Xenopus tropicalis: one gene and its partner. The protein of the gene in region 1 purifies or fractionates together with the protein of each later gene. This does not show direct contact. Links are inferred from orthologs where the notes say so. Each region holds a gene or a part of one and is shown in the gene's direction. Other genes may lie near its edges.

What was found. Proteins that work in one complex are often made in the same cells at the same time.
Region 2: the proteins of med9 (region 1) and med18 purify together in Homo sapiens (affinity purification with mass spectrometry; 6 studies listed by BioGRID and IntAct, counting the BioPlex papers as one, with this or other methods). This does not show direct contact. The link is inferred for Xenopus tropicalis from reciprocal best matches to the Homo sapiens genes MED9 and MED18.

What each region holds. Positions count from the first base shown.
Region 1 is NC_030685.2:15,709,642-15,713,898, reverse strand, and holds the start of med9 (mediator of RNA polymerase II transcription subunit 9), read left to right. Parts: upstream 1-1,447; 5' UTR 1,448-1,529; coding exon 1,530-1,657; intron 1,658-4,257.
Region 2 is NC_030678.2:78,266,260-78,270,556, forward strand, and holds the start of med18 (mediator of RNA polymerase II transcription subunit 18), read left to right. Parts: upstream 1-1,491; 5' UTR 1,492-1,645; exon of another isoform or gene 1,646-1,651; intron 1,652-2,600; 5' UTR 2,601-2,617; coding exon 2,618-2,690; intron 2,691-4,297. UniProt on the Homo sapiens protein: Component of the Mediator complex, a coactivator involved in the regulated transcription of nearly all RNA polymerase II-dependent genes.

The sequences.
Region 1 (4,257 bases):
AATCGTTCCCTGTAGCCCCAGCTACTCCCCCATCTGTAGCCCCAGCTACTCCCCCATCTGTAGCCCCAGCTACTCCCCCATCTGTAGCCCCAGCTACTCACCCATCTGTAGCCCCAGCTACTCACCCATCTGTAGCCCCAGCTACTCACCCATCTGTAGCCCCAGCTACTCCCCCATCTGTAGCCCCAGCTACTCCCCCATCTGTAGCCCCAGCTACTCCCCCATCTGTAGCCCCAGCTACTCCCTCATCTGTAGCCCCAGCTACTCACCCATCTGTAGCCCCAGCTACTCACCCATCTGTAGCCCCAGCTACTCATCCATCTGTAGCCCCAGCTACTCCCCCATCTGTAGCCCCAGCTACTCCCCCATCTGTAGCCCCAGCTACTCCCCCTTCTGTAGCCCCAGCTACTCACCGATCTGTAGCCCCAGCTACTCACCCATCTGTAGCCCCAGCTACTCACCCATCTGTAGCCCCAGCTACGGCCCAGACTGGCAATCAGTGGGTTCTAGTAAATGCCTCAGGGGCTGCTGTAGGATGCCATGGACAGTCGCTATTTATTGGGCTGGTGGGGGGGCTGTTTGGGCCTCTGTGTACTGGAAATGCCAGGGCCTATTTTGTATCCCAGTCCAGACCTGCCCCTGGCTCTGCTGTATGGCCAGGGCTCAATTTTAGGGCTATGCCACCCTGAACACCCCCACAATATGGCAATTGGTGCATACAGTTTCCACACCAGAAGTGCTGTTAGCTGTCTATTTTTTGGGAACAAAAGTATATAGAGCACAGAGCCCAGGGCAGCTGTCCCTTATCCGCCACCTTATAACGACAGCTCTGGCCATGGATACAGTAGGGTTATTGGTCAATAAATGGAGGGGAGTATTTATTAACGCTGGAAACAAAAATCACCACTGATGTTGCCCATAAAAATCAAGAGTTTTACTCTTGTTTTCTAACTTTTATGACTCTTCAAATCTAATGCTGATTGGTTGCTATGGGCAACATCACCAGCGACATATGTTTCTAATGCTAATGTCTATAATCGCCAAAGGGGCTAGAAGCAGTAACCACACTAGTACAGAAGAATAGATTAATAACAGGGGGTTATTAAGATAATAATAGATAAATACAAAGTATAACAATAAATACAAATAAATACAAGATACAGTTGCAATAATTTAAGAGTCAAAGACACAAGAGGATGGAGGTCCCTGCCCCGTAGAGCTTACAATCTATATGGACTAGTCACAACGTATCCCATAATGCAACGGTGTTTTTGAAGTGACAAGGGCTGCTTGTTATAGTGCCCCATGCAATAGGGCGCCTCAATGAATCACTTCCATCACCAAACACCATATACAATGAAACCTTTTGTCAATAACTTAGCGCAGCCGAACGGGCCCTTATCTATGACGTCGCGCAAGCCGCGGTCGCGCCAGTGACATCATTACGAAACCGCCGTATTCAGCTACAGGCCGCGACGCACAGCTTGTGACGCAGTATTTGTGCTGCCGGTGAAGCCAGCGATAGTAACATGGCTACCGGCGGCAATGTGAGACCGGCTGAGGAGCCGGAGGAGGAAGAAGAGGAGGATGAAGCTGCCGAAGAGGAGGAGGAAGAGGAGTATACCTTCCTACCGCTGGTGCACGACATCATTAAATGGTACAGTTAGTTTGGGGGTCATTGTAACTGAAACACTGCCCCGCTACTGAGCTGTTTCAGCAGTCGGAACCAGCAGTGTTTGTGTATCATGGGAAGTTGCCTGGAATGTCATTTTGCTTTAGTATGTAGCATAAATGTATTTGTATTTACTGTCATTTAGTTGGACACCACTTGCAGGTACTTTTATTGCATTCCCTTTGCAGCCAGTAGCATTCTGTGTCCCTTTGGCCCCATACAGGTAACATTGGAGACAAACATCACTGGGGATGGTGCCCATGATTGGTTAGGTTGGCTTCCAATGTTAATAAATACACCCCTTTATATCTGCAGGGCTTATTTACACTTGATTGTGGTTTGGAATACCTGTTGGTGGGTTAAAGAAGAAGGAAAGGGGGAATTATTGGGGGGTAAAATGTTAGCGCCCCGCCCAAGTGACTAAGATCACTTACCTGATACCCCGGGCTGGTGCTCCTGTTAAGCTTTATCAGAAAGGTCTATGTAAATACAGCCATAAGCACTCACACAAACGCTGCACTGAGTCCTCTATCAAAAGAAACAGGGTTTGTTGTCTTTGTTTTCCTGTGCCAGAGTCTGTGCAGCTTTCTCCTCTCTCCTGTCCCCCCCCTCAAGAATGCTAAGAACTCCCCCCCCCCCCTTAGGAATGTTTGATCTGAGCCAATCAGCAGGAAGCTGACTCATAGTCTAACTAACTGAGCATGTACACCAGTCTTGGTCTTGGTGCAGGAGCGAGGCTTTATGGGAATTTTCTTTAAAGAACTCAGCCTTTTTTTTTGTCCTATGAGGCTTCTGATCATCTGAACAGGAGAAATATGGGGAGACTTAAGGGCACTATTGAGAGAACTGAGGGTATGCCTGCAGCTTGAGATTAACTCTCTATTAGCCTTTCCTTCTCCTTTAAGTTGCTGCTGTGAAGAGTAGACCACTCTTGCCCCAATGGAAACACTTTATGTGATTTTTCCTTTACAGAATCGCACTTTCCATCTCATTAGCGGTGGCCGTTTTGGGTCCACTGCCAAGGACACAGGAAGTACTAATGTGCACTTACCTCCTGTTTCTTCTACCAAGCATATATGCATTTGCTGAGAAAACAAGAGTTTTTGACCTGCTTCTGCCCTGAACCCACGCAAGCCCAGGCTGACCCATTGTGTTAACATGTCTTATAAACCCATGCCCTACCTGCCCACTTTTGATGTTGCCAGAGGGGGGTGGGTTAGAGGCAAGTTTATAAAAGAAAGTGGCCAGGAAGAGTCAGATGTAGCTGAGCTGGGTCGTCATAATGATAAGGGTGGAAGGAGCTGGGCCAGGAAGTGATGTCACACTGGGTAAAACGGGTAAAGCCGCAGGGTATGTGTGGGCCGTGCATCACGTGCTAAGCCCAAGCCTGCAAATGGCAAATTTCTCCCAACCCACAGCCTCAAATAATCAATGTAATATTGCTAAAGGATGAACTGTATATGACAGAAACTGCTGAATTTGCATTATGGGGGATACAGCTGGATCAGAGCCAGTAGGTGTCCTTCATTCAGAAATGGCAGCGTGTAGTCTGTGCAGCAGTGCAGCCGTCGGCAGGAGACTACAGCTCTCATAATGGGAAATCTAAAGGCAGAGAGGATTGTACCAGTTCCATTAAGGCGGGGGTGTCAGGCTCTAGTCTGTCCAGCAGATATGAACTACAATTCCTGCATTCTTAATGTTTGTTTGGGAGCAGTGCTGTGCAACTTGTACTGCATAACTTTCCTGCTATGTGGGACAACAATCACACACAGGGTATGGATTATATTGATATTATGGCATGATACAAAGAAGGCAGTGGAGCCTTTGCCTAGGCTGGGGGCTTTAAGTACTTATTGGAGGGCCCCACCTGACCCACAGGCCATTTAGTTGCCCGAATCTTCCCTAGTAACGCTTTATAGTACATTATGCATATATAGATAATTTGTGTTTACTATAGGAGCCCCTTTAATGAAAGCAGGGCTGACCAACTGGAGCCTCTGGGATAAATGTGGCTTTTCACGTTTTAGGGCTTAGTGGCTGCTTATACTCGTCCGTATGATCTCCTCATTTCAATATTTATCCAACCCTCAGACATGATATGACTACTAAGCAGCTGACTACATAGGAATCCAGTAAGCCCTGCCAAGTTTCATTTGTTAATGTGACTTGATAATCGCAGGACAGGGATGTTACTGTGCCTTTAAATCCTAACCTTTGGCTAATTTTATGTGCCAAAAGTTGGACCCAATTCTTTCCCCCTATTACTGACTTGTGTTGGTCAGCGACATATATTTATGGCCGATAAAAGCTGCCACCCAGTGTGGTGGGCCCAGATCTGCTCGTTTGGTGACCCCACCGAATGAGAGGATCTGGCTGTGTATGGCCACCTTTAGAATTGACGTTGGGCTTGAAGGCTGAGCAAAGTTCTGATAGGCTGGAGGTAGAATCCTGCGAGCCTGGGAAACTGCTGGTTAGTTTACTGGTAGCAAGTAGGGCTTGTACATAAGGTTATGGGTGCTGCTTGGGGGACATGGGTGTCAGTATAAGGCGTGTCTGGGCAATGATTATGATAGGAGGTTGGGGTT
Region 2 (4,297 bases), on another chromosome or scaffold:
AAAACATGGGAGAGCTACATTATGGCATTACCTATTAAAAAAAAAAGCCAGATGCTGGCGCAGTTCTTCCAGGGGCCTTCTCGGTACATAGAAAACTTACTCTTAAAAGCACACTGATGAAAACAATGATGAAAACACCCCTGGCCACTAAAGAAGAAGGGCAGAATTGTTGTATATTACGTTTTGGGGGTTTCGAAAAGCCAAAGGTGACCACAGCTCTGTAGCAATGAATATATGTGCCTTTAAAGGAGACATATTGGATAAATGAGAAAAACACTTATTTTGTAGGCAATTATAAATAATATAAGGTGCTGGTTTCACTTTGTGCTAAAAATTAATCCTATCTGTAAAAATGGCCCCTTTATTGGAGCTCCCTATAGATTGTATCACTTCTCCGTCCAGTGTGAAATGAAGAGTGGGCGTGTCCTAATGGTCCCTTCCAGAAGCACAGTAGGAGGGGGAGAGCCAATCACAACCCTGCACTCACACAAGCAAAGACAGGCTTCAGTTCCCTATCAGGTCAGCCTAGCTGCTGATTGGTTCCTATCCTACAGTGTAGTGTACGGAGGGCCGCCGGCTCCCCAGCTCATCCAGAGAATTCAGCCAGCAGGAAGTGGAACTGATGGGCGGGACTAGTATGGTTTTGGTGGAATTTCTCAATAAATCAGGTGAGTGATGGAGGCATGGTCAATCAAGTCAGGGGTGGGGTTATGACGGGTGATCGGCCACTGGCAACTGTCAGTCTAAGAGAGTCTTGCCCTGTTTCCCTAATTTGAAAAACTGGGCAGGGAGTTTTGCCCCAAACAGTCCTCCCAAAAAGTGAGCTGTCCGAGTCAAACAGGGCAGGTCCTGAAGAGACAAAAATCAGTATTCAAGCTTTACCATTGTCATCTGTTCTGAGCAAGAAGTGGACAGACTTGCATATTTTTTGCAAGTTATAATTGAGTCAAAATTAAGCCACCAGTGCTAGCATTAACCAATGTTATCACATATTTGTAATTGCGCCAAGACAGGTTTAAGAGCAAGTAAAGATCTATGATTTGTACTAAGATATATGGTTGCCAGTAGTAGGGTGGCCCGATTACTTTAAATTTAGGGACATGTCTAAAAAATCCAGCTAGCAGGGCTGTATTGATTTTAAATGCAATCAGTGCTGCCCTGCAACATGTATTTATTAGACGTGGTCCTGAATTTTCAGTAATCTAATCACCCACCAGTAGGGGAATTTTTGGTTTTGGCAGATCGTATTGGCTTCCTACGAAATAAGGGGCAAAATACCCCCCTCCCCCCACGACTGCGTTAATACCTTCTATTTCGAGCGTCCTCTCCTTTACGGCACATACAAGCGTGCTACGTCACGGCCCAGTCTTCCGTGCCTCAGCAGGCACCCTGGTGCCCCGCCCTCACCCCAAGTGCGTCACACGCACGCAGTACGCAAATGCAAAAGCTCCTGGTGTTCTGGAGCCAGCCTCCTGAGGACTTGAGGGAGAGTTGTTTTATGGCGGGTTAGCCGTGCACTTAGGCACCGGAACTTAACTTATTAGCTGCTTGAGCTTGCTGGCTGTGCTCTAAATGAAGTAATTGATCCCGTCGCATCCCGGTTCCATTCACTTATTTACAAAATTTTGTCGGGCACTTTGTTTTAGTAAGTGTATGTATTTATCAGCTGCCGTGTTTGTACCTCTGTGTCTTTATTGTTAATGAATTGTAAAAAGAAAACACAGCTCTGCATATACAGTTATTACATAAAAATGTACACACAAAACACCTAGGATTGCTGTCTTTTCAGTAGGAAATGACTGGCCTTACAGTCTTTGTTTTACTTCCTGCTTAATAACTTTGGAATAACGTTGGGATCCCCAAACCTTATTATGCATGAACCACATAGAAAGGTAAAAAGAGTTAGGGAGGAACACACGCATGTGAATGTTCATGGGGTGCCAAATATGGGCTGTGATTGGCTATTTGGTAGGCCCTATGTGGACTGGCTAATTTGAGGCTCTGTTTGGCAGTGCACCTGTTTTTTTAACCATAACTTGCCTCCAAGCCAGGAATTCAAAAATAAACACCTTTGAGGCCACTGGGAGCAACATCCCAGGAATAAAACAACATTTTGCTAGCCTGGTAGTACTCTACTTAACAGATCTAAAAGTGGGATGACCCCCATTTATGTCTATGTGAGGCTTGTGCACATAGTGCTATGTCAGGTATTGTTAAAGGAGAAGGAAAGGATGAATCACCGGGGTTGAACTCTTTGTGAAAGATTAGGCAAAAGTAACCTGATTTTAAGGATTTGGATATAGTTTGGCCTGAAGCTTGGATTTGGCTGAACCCTGCTGAAAAAGGCAGAATCTTCACCAAATCCTGAATTAGGTGCACCCCTAAATTAAACCATACCTAGGAAAGTAGGAAAATAATCTGAAGCATTGTACTGGCAAAGTGAATGCAATTGTTTCTGTTTTTATTCAGGACAAGTTCAGGCTGGAGGGGGGTTCTAGTAGAACATAAGCAGTGCAGTATTAGTGGAGATTCAGCCTTGTCTTGACTACAATTGTAAACATATGAATATTGTGTATAATATATTTGTTTTGTTTATTTAGAGAACTAACATTTTGCAATGGAGGCTCCCCCAGTCACAACAATGCCTGTATCTGGAGGAACTATTAACATGATGGAGTACTTACTGCAAGGTAAGAACAGCCTAACAAACTGTACTGTTACTGTATTAATGGTATTAGTTTGTCCCCTCTAACCAAAAAGTCTGTTTAGGCCCCTGTTTGTTTAGCAAGGTATACGAAAACATGGTTCTAGTAGTCACTGTATATAATTTTATAGCTGTCAAAAAATGTAAATAGCATTTGGTCACGTCACGGCCCGGTCTTCCCTGCCTCAGCCGGCACAAGCCCTGGTGCCCCGCCCTTACCCCCAAGTGTGACACACGCATACAGCTATGCAGAAGATCCTGGTGTTCTGTATATAATTTTATAGCTATCAAAAAATGTAAATAGTATTTGGTCACGTTTACAGAAAATAGCCTTCTGTCTCGGCATATCATTCCATTTCTTTTTAGCCCCAAGTAATGCCAGTCCTGCAGTTCATTTATTTTCTGTTTATTATGTTTATATAATGCCAACCTGATGAAGCACTAATTATTAGTCATTTACAAAAGCCTCTGCTCACCATTGGAGCTGCTATTATAGGGTCGTAATTAGTGATGCCTTACCCACACATGCCTGGCATCACTGGAGTGGAGGGGTTTGGCAGAATAAAGATATAAATAGGATGGTAGCCAGCTAGTGGAGTGCTGCAACATGCTGACATCACAGGGTGGTACATGGGTAGAGTCAGGACTAGAACAAGAAAAGTGTTGCACCAGCCCGATCATGCCCAGCCATTGGGTCCAGACATTTTAGGCTGGTCTGTGCAACACTAGTCTCAATCAACTTCACACAACAAAGGTTTGATTAAATTAAAATTTGGTTTATCTGTATGTTTTTCGAGAAAAATAAAAACATGCAGACATGCATAGATATTCCTGTTAGATAGTGCCTAGATAAAAATCAAACTCATGGCATCTGTGCTGAAAGGCACCAGTGGTAACCACTGGTGCCTTGACATGCACTGATAAAATCCTATGACTTTACAGTAAACTCTTTTGAGCAGGACCCTGTTTTACCTCTTGTATTGGTTATTGGTTGTATTCCTTAATTTTTTTCTTTTTTAATTGACAATTTTTTTGCATCTAAAAGTTTAACTCTCAAGATTTGCATTATATCTATATGTATCTCAAATACTGAATGTGTCTGTACGTGAATCACAGGAAGAGAGAGCATAGAGAGAGAAGGAAGTGAAGTAGGAAGAAAGAAAAGGAAGAGAACAGGGGAAAGAGAAAGGAGAAAGAAGAAAGAAAAAAAAATATGAAGAGCAAATAATATAAATTATTAGCTATAATTCCTGGATATCAGCCTCAGTAAAGTTCTTCCATGAGTCCCATTGCATTGTGATATTCAAGGGTTTGTGAGAGGTTGATAAAGTTTTTTAGTTCCAGCATTGAGGGAATAAGATCGGTTTTCCATTTTTGAGCTAAAAGAAGCCTTGCTGCTTCTAATATGTGTACTGCAAGGAGTTTGTTGCTTAAAGGAACAGTAACACCAAAATATGAAAGTGTTTTAAAGTAATTGAAATGTAATGTACTGTTGCCCTGCGCTGGTAAAACCGGTGTATTTGCTACAGAACGCTCCTATAGTTTATATAAATAAGCTGCTGTGTAGCCATGGGAGCAGCCATTCAAGCTTAA